Linked DNA regions of Drosophila melanogaster. The protein of the gene in region 2 interacts with the protein of the main gene of each other region in a pairwise test. Each region holds a gene or a part of one and is shown on either strand. Other genes may lie near its edges.

What was found. The genes of interacting proteins can lie anywhere in the genome.
Region 1: the proteins of hig (region 2) and santa-maria interact in a two-hybrid assay, tested with the Drosophila melanogaster proteins (one large-scale study listed by BioGRID).
Region 3: the proteins of hig (region 2) and CG34398 interact in a two-hybrid assay, tested with the Drosophila melanogaster proteins (one large-scale study listed by BioGRID).

What each region holds. Positions count from the first base shown.
Region 1 is NT_033779.5:7,444,878-7,452,826, forward strand, and holds santa-maria (scavenger receptor acting in neural tissue and majority of rhodopsin is absent), read right to left. Parts: upstream 6,368-7,949; 5' UTR 6,072-6,367; exon of another isoform or gene 2,811-6,071; 5' UTR 2,771-2,810; coding exon 2,630-2,770; intron 2,425-2,629; coding exon 2,119-2,424; intron 2,059-2,118; coding exon 1,539-2,058; intron 1,477-1,538; coding exon 752-1,476; 3' UTR 478-751; downstream 1-477. Other genes in the region: CG5973 (uncharacterized protein), read left to right, coding at 50-96; Gr28a (gustatory receptor 28a), read right to left, coding at 7,664-7,783, 7,843-7,949.
Region 2 is NT_033778.4:9,243,844-9,249,472, forward strand, and holds the start of hig (hikaru genki), read right to left. Parts: upstream 3,407-5,629; 5' UTR 3,052-3,406; coding exon 2,922-3,051; intron 568-2,921; exon of another isoform or gene 489-567; coding exon of another isoform or gene 328-488; intron 269-327; coding exon of another isoform or gene 1-268. Other genes in the region: Cyp4p3 (cytochrome P450 4p3), read left to right, coding at 1-268, 328-488.
Region 3 is NT_033779.5:8,897,193-8,902,152, forward strand, and holds the start of CG34398 (uncharacterized protein), read left to right. Parts: upstream 1-1,593; 5' UTR 1,594-1,658; exon of another isoform or gene 1,659-2,542; intron 2,543-4,960.

The DNA of each region.
Region 1 (7,949 bases), on a different chromosome or scaffold from region 2:
GCAATATCAGGCTTTATATACTAATAAACTTAACTTTTTTTTTTTTTAGTGGCTGACAGCTATGGGTATACTGAGGGGTATAAGATGAAGAAGTAATAGTACAAGGAATAGTCCAAAACTAACCCCCCAAATCCGCACAATCCTCCCTTCCCCCTTTCGATTCGTATTTTAGTCACTTAAGTTGGGTCATTTGTGATATTGCAAATATTGTCGTACGTTAAGTAATAGTCTCTTTGCCCTTTAAATGTAAGGTTAAGAAAATTATTCACAATAATTAAAATGATCACGATACAAGCTCATGAGCTAGGCATTAAAGTGGATACCATATATACTATATATTTTGTATAATTGTTATTGAACTAATAAAGATGAAAAAAATGTTGTTAAAATTCAAAACAAACGTTGTGAGCTGTAATGAAATAAAAATAGTTATGTGCAATCTTACCCACTTAACCTACTAAAATGATAATTTCCTTTGTAGTTGAAGATTTTATTTGACACGAAAGCCATGGGTCAAGAAATCATTTTAATACAAAACATATCTAATAACTAAGGAATGTAAAAAGAGTATTCGTTAGCTAAGCGAAGTCCACCAGACGTTTCGACTTCGAAGGCTATCTAATCTTTGGCATAGGCACGGGAATGCTTGCAATTTTCAGTTGGGTGTTTTAGAGTGTCACTAAACTATGAGCTACGACTAAAGCACTAGGACGGCTTAACTATCTAAATGGCGTGAATGTGGCGGTTCTGTTCAATCCTGCTTATTGTCGCTGATGGCTGTGGATGCAGTGGCCACACTTTCACCCGTCTGGGATTTAATAATGGTTGGCTTACGGCCTTTTTCGAGGAGCGGAGAACTGTCCGGAGATCCTTTGACACTCTTTTCGCACACCAAAGTGGAGGCCTTGGACTTCAGTTCCTCAGCACTGGAGAATTGAGAGCGACTCTTATACTGGCCATTCGTTTTGGTTTTGGTCCTCAGATCGTATCTACGATTTCGACAGGAAGCCAATAGAATCTGAACCGGAGTCCAGCAGAGTAGAGTTATGCCTACGATCAAGCAAATTCCGGCGAATATATGTCCGGAGAGCATGACAATGGGCAGCACCTTCAGTTGATCTGCCATATCTGGAGTGATTCTTACTTTCTGTTCGAACCATACGAGTGGGAAAAATATCCTTGGTATTCCAGTGTATAAGCTAATGCCTTGGATTGGCTCCACGAGCATATTCACTTGAAATCGGGCAGCCACCTCCAGGGGAATACCAGTACTTGGCTGCACAACCATATAAAACTCGTGATCCTTCTGGTTAGGACTCAAGCCCTCTACCTGATCTGGGTAGTAAGGATCGGCGTTGAAAAAGTGTGGATAGGACATAAAAACAGGAGATCCAAAGCGACAGGAACTGATGTTCATCACACCCGACGGAACACATTGGCCACCACAAAAACAAAGGTTCTCAGGATACTGGGTGCCTGAAATATAAATCTCTAATAGAATGGGTACTCACAATTAATCAATTCTTATCAAGACTCACCATTATCTACAGATCGTGGTCCGCCTGAGAATTTATAACCTTCCAGTCCTTCAATATCCACAGTTTCCACATAATCCAGCGGAATAGTTCGGCACATATCGGGCGTAAATAGACCAACACTATCGCCGGGCTTCAGATGCTGTGGCTGGAACTCCCCGGCGGATCCATTGGTCATACCGCAATAGGAATCAAAGAATCCAGTGTTCTCCTGGTAATTCCACGAGTGCATCTGACCCAGTTTGGCCAGTTGATCGGCGCCAGTGAAGACATTAAAAACTCCGGTAAGATCGGCACTTCCATTGCGCGTATAGAACCAACCGAACTTATCGAATGGAACCTTCACCTCATCACCAAAAATGGGCATGGCCATGGCCACGTCGATCATTGCGTCATTGTAACCGGTGAAGAGCAGCTCATCGATCGATTTTTGGACAGACATCTCGGCACCGTACATCTTTAGTCCCACATCGACAAGGGAGCGCTTAACTGGTGGCCAATATTTGGCTGTGGCGGCTGCAGACTGAAATGGAAATGTATAGTTATAGTTATATTATGTAATAAAAGGGAATAGGATACTTACCAGAGCCACTGCATTAAGCGTGGTAATCTCATCGTCCAGGCTGCCATTACTGCCCGCCGCATCAAAGTAGAACAAGCTGCGCCTGCGATAAGTGACGGATGCATTTTCTGGATGCCAGTGAATGTCCACCTTATCGGGTCGCTCGATAAAACGATAAGGACCCACCTGCTCCAGAATGGGCTTTGTGGAAAGGTTGCCGAAATCCTCCGGATTCGTCCAGTTGTACAGGTAGATGTCCAGACTGAGATCAATTGGCGGACTCTTCCAATTTTCATAGACACGTGTGTCGGGGGCCAGAGCCATTTCCTGTCGAAGAACAGAAGCCGCAATTGGTATTAATTGAAAATCTCAACGAGTTTTCCTCGATCTTTGACTCGCGCCAATTGAGAGGCGGCTGTTTTTCTTTTGACTTTCAATTGGCTTTAGCCACTAATCGAATGCAGCTGGCCGGGCTAACACTGGAGTGAAGTGAAATGAACTTAACTGAACCTCTGTCAATGACTGGGATTACCTTGTGCATGATCCAATCGAACAGGTCCACCCAGAACATGCCGCACAATATGCCAAATAGTCCCAGGCAAAAGCCGAAAATGCCGATAATTAATTTGCGATTACTTTTTTGGCCCCACATTGCGCTGTTTTGTGTTGGCATGGCTCACGCTGGGCGATGGTGTGTGGATACCTAATGGTGGCTGTAATGATATGCAAGTCATTGAAACATCAATGAAAATGGATAAATTGATAGTCTATTTGCCAACATATAAAAATGGATCAAATGAAAGAACTCATAAATGTAGTGCAAGTTGAGAATGTACTGATAAGTTTTCTATTATAAAATCATTATGAACAAATCATAATACAATAATTTAAAATATAACTTTACACAATATTATTTTGTGAACTCATGTTCATGTTGCCTACTTTCAGGCAGTGCTAGTTAAAGAATAAAAAAAATGTAGAATCAAATCTCTTATTAACAGATGCATCAAGTCACATATTAATATAAGTATGGCGAACAAAGAAATCAACAAAGAATTGAATACAAATAAAATGCAAAAAGCGCAGCATTTTATTGAGTGACGAATTCCCATAGCGTCTATTTTTATCAATATAATTGAATCAATTTAAGCAAAGCGTGACTTTCAATTGCTGTTTACACTCATGTAGAATATACTAAGTCCGGTAAGTATATGTGTACATATATACAGAACTATAGTCGAATCCCCTATCAGTGGTGATAATTACAAAGCTTCCCCCGACACTCAACGATGATGTGTTTTAATTAGTTATGATAGTTTGAAGCTGCATTGCAAGCAATACGTGTAATTATCCATTTCGTTTACGAATAACATGCATGAATGTGGATAAAATATTTTATGATCGCATTCGGTAGGCGAATTTTCCTATATGGGGCATTCACTGTGGTCCGATAAGCGGATTCTGAACTCTTAGGTAAACAGACCCATGAGGAAGCCACAGACAATTGAGGAAATTGAACTGCACTGCACTTATCGCTTATCGGGAATCCATCCTCTGGCAATTATTTGACCAATCTGCCCAGAGTTCCCATCACCAAACACTATGTATCACTTGAGCATAAATATTGCATATGTACGTACATATGCCACAGGTTCGCATCTCTGTGATATATCGTCATAATTGAGTCTATCAATTGACCCCGCAGTGAGCTATGGTTGGGTCTTTGACACTTTGCGTTATTGCACATGAATACGAGTAGGAATCTATATATATATATACACATATATACATATATATATGCTTATTTGGGAGCGTGTCAGTTGTGTTCTGGTTGGTGTCTGGTAAATTGATATGATTATGTCTTTTGAATGATGAATAGCTGTCGAGCATTTGTCGGCGCCTTTTTATTGTCTTCACAATTAATCTGAAGTGAGTTTTAATTGAAATGGACGTTGGACAGGTGCATCACGTAGAGTTCATCCCGCATTTTTCGCTTAATTCAATTAGATCAAGAGCAATACCGCACATAACGAGGATAGATTTTGAATGGAAATCTAAGAGATTTTAGCAGGAATATCTCTTTTTGTGAGAAAATATTTATAGCAAGATACGTTTTTTTTTCAGTGCAGTTCTTTGATATTCGCTCTTGAAGCTCGAAGCCGCAACACTGAATAATTGCGTTTAATTAAGCTTAAATTTTAGTGACCGGTATATTTGATTCATTATTAAATTAGGCATGCTCTTGTCATACTCTCTGGTTCTTGATCTTCTATATTAACATTTTTATGAATGCTCCGAACGCTTTATTCATATTCTATGCAAATGCACCGAGAACACTGAACTCTGAAGTGATGCCACATCGAAAGTGAATGCATTCTGAAACATTCTAGCAAGAATTATCTGCCTTTTTGGCGTTAACTTCCTGAGTGCAAGTGCACTTGATATGAAACGGAAATTCTAAGTACTAAGTCAGACGCAGTAAACCCGATACTTTAAGATCGTCTACTGGATGTGAGACAAGTCAACACCTTCTCAGTTTTTCCTGATGTTTTTCAACCCCATTTAACCACAAAGGCTGCCATTGAGATAAACCGCAACTTACAGATTTGACGCAGTTCGCAAATTCACATATGCTTGGGCGAGTATTTTTTGATAACGAGCTATCGGCATGTAATTGAGTTTTCGCAGCCTTCAAGTACGAAAATACACACGACGATTTAAAAAAAAGCCAACAACTATAAATAAAGAGCGAAAGGCTAAACCGTAAATAGGCTTGGTACTTTTAAAGGTCCCTGAACTGCAGAAAGTTATTTTGTTTCTTTTTAATGAACTTTAAATCAAAAAATTTCTTTAAATGCCACTTTTACGTAGCCAAGATTTCAGTATTAACTAAAGTTGTTTAAGCCCTTTGAGATTTTAATTAATTCATTGTGAATTGATTAATTGATTTGACTTTAATTGTCCAGCATGAGTTGAATTCTTAAACGAAACTTTAATGAACATGCTATTAGGGGCTAGTTTCGATTATCTTGAACTATATTTAAACGGGTCCCATGAGTAATTTGCCAACGAACAGCTGTATTTATTGAGGATTCGCCAATCTGGGCATTGATTATTCAATTAGCGAATAGCTGGAAAATGAATGTGAAGTTTCTTTGGCTCTTTATTGCATACAATAAAGAAAATTTAAATAAATATTTTAATTTGCAATTTTTAAGACATTCGTTGGTTTTCTATTAGAGTATTTACATTATTTGTTTTTCAGATATTTATTATCTTATAAAGGCACACGCAACTGCAATTAGTTGGGAGCAAGTTGATATTTAATTATCTTGAACTTTAAATGGTTAACAGGTCGCATACGCAATGTGTTTTGTACACCACTGTTTTGTTTTTTATTTATATACCAAATAAGATCAGCTGCCGTTCTTTTGCAGAAAATTCCAAAACATATACTAGATTTTTTTATTTTTTCATTATAATTTATCATCGCCCAATTTCGTTTTATGTAAAAATACAAGCTACAAAACATAATTCGTCAACGGGGCGCATGCTTAATATTTTCCTGAGCAGCTGTTTTCCCTGGGACTAATTTTAGACCATTAATCGCACAATCAACAGGTCGCCTCGTAGTCCAAGCTGGAAGCCCTTTGTTTTGCATTCCGGCACTCTTATTTCTTCAAAAGGGAGACGACACACAAAGCCAGTATAAACACAAAAAGAATGTATAATATAGATTGCCACTGTACATACATATATATTTGGTTTTCTGTCTGGCGACTATTTTTCATTCTTGTCGAGTTAATTTCATTTAATGACCTGTAATCTTAATAAGTCTGCCGGCGATTAAGCCAAATCAAGCCAAAACGTAATGTGTTAACAAAGCAGGAAGCGCTAAGAAATTACGTGATATTGCGAAAGGAGTTTTCTTTTGTCTTTCCAAATTTCCTTTATTTTCTTTTAAAGGCACTCACTTGACTTTTATTTGCTAAATAGAAACAAATCACAGGCTCCTCGGTTTTTTTTTTACGTTTTGATTTTCCTTGCGAGGAAATTGAAATTCGATAAGGATGTGGACAGAACGCTTGAGCACGTGGATGATTTCTTTGCACAGAGGCCGGAAAAGTGGACACGAGTCCCTGGGAAATGCCGTAAAATGGTACCGCTTCGCCCGGCGGCTTCGATGCGACTGTGCGGCGGACTCTCAGCGAACGGACCGCGAGCAGAGCGGAGCGGTCTCGGCGGCCGATGAATGTCAGTCAAGTGCGGCACATGGAAATGGAAATGTATATGGAATTGGGCTTGAGAAGAGCTCCGAGTATCCGAGCAACGGTGTGTATGTGTGTGTGCGAGTGGGTGTTTGGGTTAATTTGCGCTTTGGGCTTTTCATAGTTGTGCCATTGAATTTTGAATTAAACAATATACAATCTGAAACGCGAGTACGACTTTAAAACTGTAGAATGCATCCAAGGGAAGAAGTAGTCAGAAACAACAGTGTCACCATCTTTATATAAATTTTTGGAAATAATCTAAATTGAACCATTTGCTTTGTTAAATACGTTTACAAATATTTTAGTTTCTTATATATATATTTTTTAAATATTTACATCTAATAAATATCAAATGATATAAAAATGAAATGAATGAACTGAAAGAGTCAACATATTTTCTATTGTTCAGTCGAATAGCAAATATAACTGGGTCACATTTCAAAAAATCACAATCAGCGAAAGAAATTCCTATGCACTTAGATTTCATAAAACTGCGAATTTTCGCATACGAATCGGGTGGCTTGTGGAAAAGTAAACAAATCGTAAAGTAGAAATCCGAATTGATAACAAATTGTCGAAGCCTTATCAATGCGGCTAATCGTGATGATTAGCACTGGGTGAACAGCGAACATTCACGACTAACCCCACACACTTGTAAGCTGCGAAAATCGACAAGCGATCAGAGCAAAGTTTCAACTGTTTTTTTGTTTTATTTCGCTATCATAGGGGCACAACTCCCCAGCAAATGGCATAGAAAACACCCATGGATTGCAGTCTGAGGCAATAAAACAATAAAATGTCATTGCTTCAGTGCGTATTCAGGCTGGCTTCCTTATTGGATTAGTCTTTTGCCTCCTTTCACATGGCGTGCTAACTGGGATTAGCTATCAGTTGTGGCCAAAAGTCAGTTACCGCTGCAGATTATGTTGCAATGTTGTGAAGTGGAGCAAGCAGAAGTGGGTCAAGCCAGCCCTTAGCTTCGAAATGGGTCTCGGCCAGCATTATCCATTTGAATTCATTAGTGAAATTCAAGCAGCTCATGTCAGCCAGCAACACAGTCAGTGACGTAGCAACCAGCTTGTTGTTGTCGATTGGCTTACGTTACGTGAATACGTAACGTACTGATTAAGTGCAATTGAAATGTTTACTTGCTTTAAATATTATATCATAACTTAAAAAATACGGATAAAAAATGTAATTTACTGCGAGCTGGAAAACTTTAATTTATTTTTCATCTGTACGTTAGGACACTTTATGTTTAAATTTAATTGATTAATGTGTATATATAATTTTAATCAATCGCCGAGATGAATGGAATGTAAATTATTTGTTGAATTGGAGCTGGTGTCGTCCATGTGATGTGTGAATCGAAACTGAATTAGGATAATGAGGTAGCACGTGGCAGCACCAGTAATCTGCAAAAATTAACCACTTAAATAAATAAAATATTTAATTATTTTCAACATTAGTTCACCGTAAAAATCAGTGTGCGATCCAGACGAAAAAGTCCTGCGGCTGTGAAAAGGACCTTCCGATGCGACAGCTGCAAGGACAGACGGAAAAGTCGATCTCTGAGTTCTG
Region 2 (5,629 bases):
CTGGAATACTTTATCAAGGAAACCATGCGCCTGTTTCCTTCTGTTCCCGCCATGGGTAGGGAAACTACGCGGGAAACTGAGCTGAGCAACGGTCTCATCTTGCCAAAGGGCTCCCAGATTTTTGTCCATGTCTTCGACATCCATCGCAATCCCGAGTACTGGGATTCTCCCGAAGAGTTTCGCCCGGAGAGATTTCTGCCCGAAAACTCGCAGAATCGTCACACCTACGCATATATTCCATTCAGTGCTGGTCAGAGGAATTGCATAGGTATGTAATATTGCTTACTCTCATGGAATGATTGGATAAACATATCATTTTCTTTGTAGGTCAAAAATTTGCCATGCAGGAGATGAAAACCCTAATGGTGGCCCTACTGAAGCAGTTCCAAATTCTACCAGAAATCGATCCGAAAACTATTGTTTTTCAAACTGGACTAACACTGCGGACCAAGAACCAGATTCACGTGAAGCTCGTGAGAAGAAAATGAGGCAGCTTTAACGGAATGGAATTGTTCACGGAACTCTGTTAGTCATAAAGTGCACAGTGAACAATAGTTTCATCCAAAGACTCCTTTCTTCTTTCTCTTGGTGCAAAAATGTCCTGTGACTAGCTTATGGCCGATAATCGTTGGCATCTCGACAGCTGCCGCCCTATAAATCATTCATGCCCTGGCGGGTAGAAGCACTTCTCTTCTTCTTTTCCAGCAGCTATTACAATTCCAACTCCCATTTCCCACACAGTGGGAGCTCCCTGTCATTTCCTACCCCTCCTATTATTTTTGAGGCAGCCCAGGAAAAGTCAAGTAATCTCTGTCCTTTAGCTCACATATATGGGAATGCAAATGCATAATGCGCTGGCGACTTTTTGTCATTTGGTTTTCCTCCTCCTGCCGAGGCTACATCCCTTTCCCAACGACTCCTTTTTGCTTTAACTGCGATTTTGACAGTTCGTTACTCAGTTATACCATTTGCATGCATAATGCAGACTCAGCTTTGTTCTAAGCACATAAAATGTGGCAAAAAGACATGGGTGACCATGGGCTCGCAAAATGCACTGTGTGTGGTGCACTGAAATAAGTTCCATCTATCTTTGGCTTCCTATTTATTTTATGAAATATTTATATCATGTTTCGAAGGGATATTTTTAGTTAGCTTCTCTTTTATATGTGGCTTACTACTACTCTACTATTGAAAATAATTATCGTAAACGCATATTTTTTAGTGTGCGCCCAACTCGTTCCAACATCATCATCCATCCTGGGGACCCAGGATTTATGGGACAGCACATGGAAATGGGTGAAAGGCAGCTCTGGTTTTAGCTGCTACTCGGCTACTGCATATTTCATTAGTGCTCTGTGCGCTAGTGCTTCGTCGCCATAAGTCAACATTAAATGGATTCCATTTGTGAGTCATGTAAATTAAATTTCCCTCGCTTTCACATGTGTCAAGCGAACGTTTGGATCTCAGAAAATCTAAGAATCGGCACCCCTCTCACCTGACTGACTGCCAAACTGCGCACCAAAAGGCGAAATAAGAAGTCGCAATATCCGCCACAAAAGAAAAAAAAAGAAGATAAGTGCGACGCACTTTTGCCTGACTGAAGGACGAAACCCCAAAAGCTCAGCAGCTCAACAGCTGGTCCTGTCGATTTGCCAGGGGAAATTAGAAGGCAACCGACTGGAGGGATGGCGATGGCGATGGCGATGCCGATGGAGGCAGAGTGAATTAATTACTTTATGCGCATCTGCGTGTCGCTGTCGGGCACTTTACACTTCCCCTGTATCCTTTTTCCCACTTCCCTTGTCCCTTGTACCCCACATCCACCCATTCCCCCGTCCAAAGTCTTCCTTCCCTTTCGCAAAACTCACACATGACGCTATTAATTTCTATTACCAGCCTCGGACGGCCTGCCTGCCATACTTCATTACGGACTTTCGTGCAATTGCCGCTTGCCCGAGCTACCTTTCAGCTCCCCTTCCCCTAGTGCACTGAGAGAAATTATTGGTGACTGCCAGCGGAATTAAGTTTCGTTGAGATTTAGGAGCAAAGGTCTAACAATCAAAAGTATGCATTAAGTTTGCGCCTTATTAATGATTTCACATGTTCAAAATGTTCAGTAATCATAATTTATAATGTATAAATATACATATGTAATTGAAAATATATTTGATCAAAAATAACTAAATTTATCATTAAATTCTTACCTAATAAATTATCATAATACGCTCGAAATAAAGGTTAAATAATTATTTTACAAGGTGTGAAATACATAATGATTTTAAATATTTATGTGAATGCTATACGAAAATTTATTTCGATTTGTCATACATGACAATCATGTTTTTCTTTATTCTTACTGAAAAATAATGTTTGTGATTGCGTTTGAAAACTAACTTTAAAGACTTCATGATGTCTTGCTTTGAATGATTCATAATAAAAGCCATTATCCTTGCACCTTATAAGCATGTCTTTTATAATTTAATATGAAAAGCAACCTAAAAATTTGTTGCCAAATATTTTCCGCAGTGCCCCGTTTTCGCGATGCCCTTGCTTGTTTGTTGACTCTGATTGGGATTAAGGTTGCCCATGGGCTCTCGGCTCGCTTTGATTGCCTTTGTGCCGCAGATGCCGTGAAATATTTCATTTGCTGCCAGTTATTTGCTCTTGCGCTCTGTAGCTTCCCCTCCCGGTTACGAATTCATTTCTACTCCGGATTTATATCCTTTTTGTTCGAGCGTGTGTGATAATCGCTGGGAGCTGGAAGCTGTGAACTGTCCGATTTCCATGGATGCGTGGAAGGCCATTTAATAAAGTGACCGAGTTCGAGGCGGCCCGTCATAATTTATTTACGCTTTTCGTCCGTCCAGTGAGTGAAGGTCAAACGGAGGAGCCCACGTGTGTGCGGGGCAATTAGGACTCACCTGGCTCGGATGTGGTGCTGGTCTCGACGGGCTCCGTGTTGGCATTGCTTTTGTCCAGGACCAGCAGCAAAACGGTCAAGGATATTAGGGCCCAAAGCGGCTTATGGCGCATTCGCTGCCTGCTCCACATGTCCAAGGATCAGATTGCGATTGCCAGAGTTTCGGCGTTGTTTTGTTTTCGTTTGTTAAGCAACCCGATGAGTCCTTTCAAATAGCAACGAATTTAACACCACTGCACTTCACGAGTTGACTTCTTAATGGGCCAAAAATAGAAATCCACTTGGCCAACTCACACACACACACTGGCGTACCGCCAGCAGTAACCCACACTCGCGCCAAACTGTATGCAACGTGTGCGCGTGTATGTGTATGTGTGTGTGCTCTTTGGCTTTAAAGTTTCACTTTTACTTAGAGTCCTTTGCGGGGTTTTATCCTTTTCGAAGCTGGGCACCTATCCTCTCGAGCGACGACAATCGAATGCCACGAGTGCGGCGAGCGTCTCGCTTTTATACCTCTCGTTGGATTCTGCGCAGCTTCGGCTCTGCTTCGTTCGGCTGCAATCGGCTGCATTCGGCACTCGACGAAGGATCGCACTCGACGAAGCTCGCCAAAGGATGTGTCACGTGCATTTTGCCGGCAAATCGTGTGTTTTTGTTTTGGTTTGGCCCATGTTTTGCTTAGTCGCTGTTGCCATTGCCGTTGCTGTTGCTGTTTTTCGTCATCTCCGATTTTCCTCTCTCGCTGCTTTCGCTTTTCGCTGTGCCCGTGTGTCTGCGTGCGTGCCCTTGTAACTCTCACGTAGCTCTCCTTTTTCCCACTCCCCCCCGAACCAACCAAGGAACACCGCCCACCCACGTGGCCAATTCCCAGCTACAAATGAAGTTTTCCGCTTGCTTGCCACGTTGATTCGGTTACTTTCCAGTTTAAAACTAATTTAATTATACTTCCTTAGTTCAGGCAGATACTTTTTACTGGTGCAGCAGTGAATCAATCGCATAAAATCAATTACTATTTCCTAATTCACTAGGGGAAATCGTTGCTGAAAATGTTATTGGCTTAAAACTGCGATTTATATAGCCCGAAAACATGAGCACATAAGGTACAATAACTAGACGACTATAATTATTTAATTGAAATATTGTATGTAGGAGATAAATATGAGAATTACATTTTTGGATACATTGGCAATAACTGCTAAAGTTTAAATTTTATGATTTTTACTTGGCGGTAAGCTTAGCAACTAAATGCAATTTTTTTGTAGCTAATTATATGTTTATAAATTCAAAAGTGTGCTTCCGTGTTTACTACAAATTCAAAGTGGGTACATTCTATTGTGGCTAAGGAGTGCAGTGGAGCCAAGTGCTCGGCAAGGGACTCACCTTTGCTGCTCCTCAGCTGCCGCTGCCCTGAGAAGTATGCTATCAATTGTGCTGACGTCGCCTGTCTGCTGGCCATTCCTTTTGGTCCTGGCCAATAATCAAGCAGCAGTTGCGGTGATTTTGAGGCCTCTGCTCTGCGACCGAAGCCAAATGGCATTTGGCATTTGGCAACCAGGTTGCGGATGCCACTTGGCCACTAATTACGCAAATGAATGCTCCGACAGGACGCCCCTTGTTGTCCTCGCAAGATAAATGTCACTCATTGGAGGTTCAGGTTAGTCCTGGTCCTAAAGCGTAACCGTAACAATACCGTCTGGGTCGCTCTTGTCTGTCGCATTGAAATTTTGCTGAAATGCGAAATACCAAATGCGAATGCGAATGCGAAACGCGCTCAACTCCAGTCGAGTGGAAAATGAATGTTTGTGTGCTGCATTCTCCCCCTCAGCTGGCAATCCAATTGTGCAGCGGCATTATCTTTTGTGTATAGTTTCTGGCATGCCGTCCTAGTGGCCCGAAACTTTGGAATGCAATCAGGCTGAAAATTTATACGTTTAGCATGTTTATCCTGCCTCCTGGCAACGAGCGGCTTTACAGCAAAATTCAATTTGCTGCCCTGCAACCGCAGGCTGAAATTACATCTCTGGTATTCCAACTCAATTCGATGCCGACGGGCCGAAGGCTAATAACCAATGATTTCCTGGGTGCCAATGAAGTGCGTGCACCTGACATGGTCGCAGCTTTTCTAGATTAAAATGCCTGCATTTAGCAGATTAAATTATTTAATCAAGACAATTACTTACTGGCTGTGCGATGGGCAGATGCAACAAATACATGGCTTACCGAATCCTCATTTCGGTAGAATGAATAATACAATATGCATAGTAAGTCACGCAAAAGGAATATTTACTTTGGCCAGCTTGGTTGGCAGCTGATTTAATAACTACACATCCAATTGTTTTAAATGAAATAATCTCCTCTTCGTTTTAATGAAATTATTGCTTTAAATAAATTCCTTGTTGTTTTGAACATATGTCAAAATAATATATTCTTTAAGTTGTAATTCAGGTTTTAGATATTCAAATATACAATAAATATTCTGAGATTTCTTAACATCGATCTCTTCGATAATATGTTATGCTCCTTATTTTGCTCAGTGCACCAAGCGGAAAACAATCGCAAGTAAATCAACTGGTTCTTAATGCCATTTGCCAGATAGCGAGCCCAGGGATAAACAAGGACTCGCACCCGATGGCCAAATTCCAGGATCTTGTCTTGTCATGCAATTATCGAGTTTTAATGAATTTTCGCGCGCAGTCAGAGGCGAAATCC
Region 3 (4,960 bases), on a different chromosome or scaffold from region 2:
CTTAAGCCCAAATTTCGCGGCATGTAACACTTCCCATTTTCAGCAGCTAAGATTTACTATTGTATAATCCCTATGTAAAGAAATGATTGAGGGCCGAAAATGGAACACTAAAACTGTATCAGGCACAGACAAAAATAACACCTTCAAATGCAATTTGTAGACCCAACGACGACAGCTCACAACTCGTGCCATAACTTTCAAATGCGATTTGTTCAAAAATTTGTTCCAGAAAGAAGTGGAGGAAGAGAACGGCGTGACACCAGTTGGCCAGGCTACCAGCAAGCGGACCAACCAACGAGTGCAACCAATTCGCGGATCTGAATAAGTGCAACTCCAAGTCCAAATCCAATTTCAATTGCATTGCGAATGCGGCAGCCAAAGACACGTTTTTGAACTATACGACCCCGAAAGGGTCAAGTGGCGCGTGTAGCGAAAGCCATGGCTAAAACCCCAAACCGCTGCCAGCAGTAGCCGATCCAACTTGATTTTATGGCTAACGTATACATGGCCACCCACTTAAAGGGTTTTCCAAACGAAGGAGAACCGATCTCCGAGCCGAGCATTCGATCTTCATGCCCCAGTGCGTGGCGAAACCTTACTTGCGTCTGAACTTGACATGCATATGTACGCGTAGATAGATACATATAGTCTCAAACCCCCCGATCTCCGATTCCCAAGCCGATCATGATTAACCGGCTGGTGCGTGTTGCATGAGTGCTGTAGGTAGGGTAGTAATCAGTCTAGACTGCATTGGGCTCATCCCACGTTCAGCATTGAGATATGTTCGCATATCGAAAGTGTGCTGTTCCAATTAATGGCTTCATTTGCTCACCCAATCGGACCCAATGACACCTTGAGGCTGAAAACAATAAATGTTTAATTAGCCCGAGTCACAAGCATCGTAAAAATATTTATAATAAAGTCCAATTTTGGTGCAAGACCCATAAAGTCTGGTTCAATGGCACACTCGTTACGTAACGTAAGCAGCCTTTACGTTACGTTAAAAACGCCGGTTGTCTGACAAGCAAAAGCCGGGTGAAAAGAGTGAGTTGGTAAGAGAGCGGTGAGTAGGGTTGTCACAGCTCGCAAAGAAACTTAAATTATAAAAAATAAAAATTTAAGTAAAAATTTACATTACAAGCACTGGGTGTTTTCAAGGTTACCTTTTGACTTGACAAAACAAGGTGCAGTTGCGATAAGATATGATATCATTTGCTAACGTTTAACTTATAGATATCATTCAATTGTTATTAACTTTCATTGTTCAGCTCCTTTTCGAGATTGAGACAATAAATCACCATTAACCACAATGAGTTAAGCAGAGTGTGTAGGTATGGTTATTGTAAGCCATAATAAATACATTTATCCCCCTGCGAAAAAAGTGGAACTAAGCCAAAGAGCGGCTTTGACCAGGTTCTCTTTTTGTATCTTTGTATCGGGCCTAGCAAATCTCTTTCCAACAGAGAGCCGCTCCCAACGAGGCTGACATCATCGAGAGGCCCAGTCTCCTCCGGACCTGGCCAAGTTGAAAAACTATAGCCAGATTGTCGGTTTGTCGGGTATTTAATGCGCGGTGCGAGCGCGAAACTCTTTTAGTACAGCGTTGGCGTGCAAGACAGACGGTTCGGTTTCTGGGAAGCTTCGAAGCCTCAAAACGAGTTCGTTATAAAGCAAATATTAATGTGTATATAGCTGTGTGTGCCAGCAGACACTTTATGAACACACACACACACACTTTTCTGTGCCGAAAACAAAAGTATACAAATAATCTAGAAACAAAACACGAGTAAACATTAAACAGTGCTTGAATGTTGTGACTTCGAGTGAAGCCAAGCGTTGAGTGTGAAATGCAAAACGGGCAAATTCAAGACCCCCAGAGATCACAAAGTTCGTCTCAAAGACTGAGCAGCCCGAGTCCCGAAAACAATTGCAAAGAAAGTGAAAGATCAGAGACAGAAAAGGAAAAGGAAAAGTCCGAGAAAGGGAAAGGTTGTGGCTACTCGAGTTGTCTTTTCAGATGCTCCGTCAGGTGCATCGAGATTAGAAGCCTCCGGTTACCATTTATTCCCCTGAAAGCAAACAGCTGTTGCACTCAGACAATCGCCCACTGATCATTGAAACTTTTTTGCCAGAAAACAAGCATTTTCAATAATTTTTGTCCAATGCCTGGCTGGCTGACTATGCGTTTTTCGTATTCATCGAGAGCTGACAAAAATTATTAAAAATACAAAAACAAAAAAAATCGCGTATACCACGCGTTTTTTTTTTTTATTAAGTCGATTGATTCATTGAGCCCCTTGTCCGTGTGCCTTTGTGTGTGTGTGGTGTGTGCCCGTGCGTATGTGAGTATTGGTGAATACAATCAACGGAGCACGGAGAAAAAAAGGAAAAAAGCGGCCAAGCGACATTGATGCCAATCGCCAGTGCATTTGTTGTTGCTGTTTGCATCGGACCAGAATATAATGAAATAAAGCCAAATAAAATATAAGCTAAAACGCCTTCAGTGGACTTCACGCTGAAAAAAAAGATATCAAACGGACAGGTACGTGCAATTCGTCTCATTTTGATTTATTTCAATTGAACCCATAGCCATAAATTGTCATGTATACTTTGCTAGACTTGCTAGGCATTAAAACTCACATGCATATTATTTTTGAATTTTCGGTGAGAGGAGCTAGTACCTATGATAAATTGCTGCTAGAAAATCAAACAGCTAATGAGAAAATAACTATAGCTGATGATGCAATATATAACAGTCAGAAAATTGTGTAAAATTTAGATATTCACCATAAACATGACATATCAATAGCTTGATTTAGCTCGATGATAAATTAAAACAAATAAACACATTTACACAGTACTATAATAAATAGTCATATTTTAGCTAAGGTCATTGACTAGAGCATATTGCTTCGAATTGCTGTCCATTTATTTCTTATTCAAACCTAAAAAACATTGCAAATGAAAGAAATACATTCTCTTTTATGCTCGAAAACCATTCCCATAATTATAATAATGATTTCCGAAGTCATTTCGCCCTGCTCCATTTTAAAGCATCCAACAATAGAAGAGAACATTCTTATACTTTCCTTTGTCTGATTTATAAAGTTATTTTTCTCAGTTAATTATTTGGCTTGCCATGATATTTTGTTTACTCCGAAGCTTGCCAATTTATCTTACTACCACCTCCACCCAACTCATCAGCGATCATTGGGAAACCAAATCACCCTATCCATATATCATGAATCATTAATATATTTTTGAACAATTAGGGTTCAATGATTCTAGTGCTGGGCATGAGTTCCCAGATCGCCCATTAGTCATCAGAATGTCCAGACCAGATCGGAGTATCCCACTCAAGCCATATCGGGATAGTTGTCTGGTTTTTTTTTTTATTTTTTACACATTTATTTATACAAGTTATTCAATACTACGGTTTCTTTTCATGTGGACCGAAACTTAGTTATATTTATGACTATATCCAGTGATTTCGGGGACTACAATTGTCGCATTAGGAACTTGTGGCGTGCATTAGTGCAAATTACCATTGGGCTCAAAAGGTGTTGGCCCCAATTGTCACCTCAGAAAGATATTGAAACGGAAAACTGGGTGTGGGACTCGCAGCTTATGGCATATTGCATTACTTCGTCAAAAAACTGCGATAATACTCGATTTCTTTACCTCTACATGGTATTTTATATGTATTTTTATGGGCACGCGCCTGTTGCTCGTTTTATCGGTCGAGCTGAATGTCAAAGTTAGAACTTGAGTTGCTCATGGCAGCCGAAGTTGACATTAAGACCATTTCAACACCACAGCGAGAGACTTTTTAATCAAGCTTAAGCTATCCATGGTTTATAGAAAATAAAAAACGATTACTCCAGCCGATTCACAATTGAATGGATTGCAAATTAGTGTAGCTCCTCACGTTTATTGTCGCATTTGGTATGCCAAAATTGCAACTGACACCTTGATTTACACACCCTTTTTGACCGAAAAAGGTTTAATGGTGTACGCGGTCCAAAATTCATCTTTTGTGGAATTTCGCTTTGTATTCTCAATAATCATTAATGATATTTTTGACTCTTTCGAACGAAATATATTTCTATTGTTATTTTTAAAATAAATCCAAAAAACACATAATTTAAAAAACAAAGCATTTTGTTTTCATAATTATTAGCTGTGCCTTGTATGGCTGAGGCATAAATAAAATTCTTTATAAATCATTTTCTAGCTAATGTTTCCAATGAACTTTGCCAGGTCGTTTGCAATTCGTTTGCATTTCGCATCCTATTATTTATAGTTGCCATTAACTTTTCGGGTTTGAACAGGATGTTCAAATGTGATTCATAGAAAATATGGAATCAAAGCTGGTCTCAAGGTCGATGATGAGCTCAGCAGGCTCTTGGTTAGGAGCATACATTTATTGTGAATGTTTTCTAAGTTTGCCATTTTTCAGTCCTATAGTTTTTCATCATCGCCAGCCATAATTGAACCATAAACACCTTAAAACATGCTACTATACTTAAAATAATGCAGCACCCCACACATCGTGGTGGTGACCCACCCATCACAACTGGCAAACGACCCACACGACATCGATTGTTTCGCTTCATTTTTCATTTTTTTTTCCAAGACAATGCCAAATCATTGAGCAGCCAAAAAACTGCAGCAAACAAACACCTCCGCTAAAAACAGACAGCGACCACGATCCACTGAACAGTGAACAGTTAACGGTGGGGCCCAGCCTATAGACGTGTTTAATCAATTTAAATTACCTTCAATTAGGCTCTTTGTTCGCGGTCCCGTGGACATTGCGAAAAGTCTTCAGTTCGGCATCAGCATCTGCATAAATGAAATGCAAATGAGGAAATGCCACTAATTTGTTTAGATTCCCCGGGTCTAAAATGGATGCATGCATATCTAACTTCAGCATTGGCCAATGGCTGGCAATTAAACG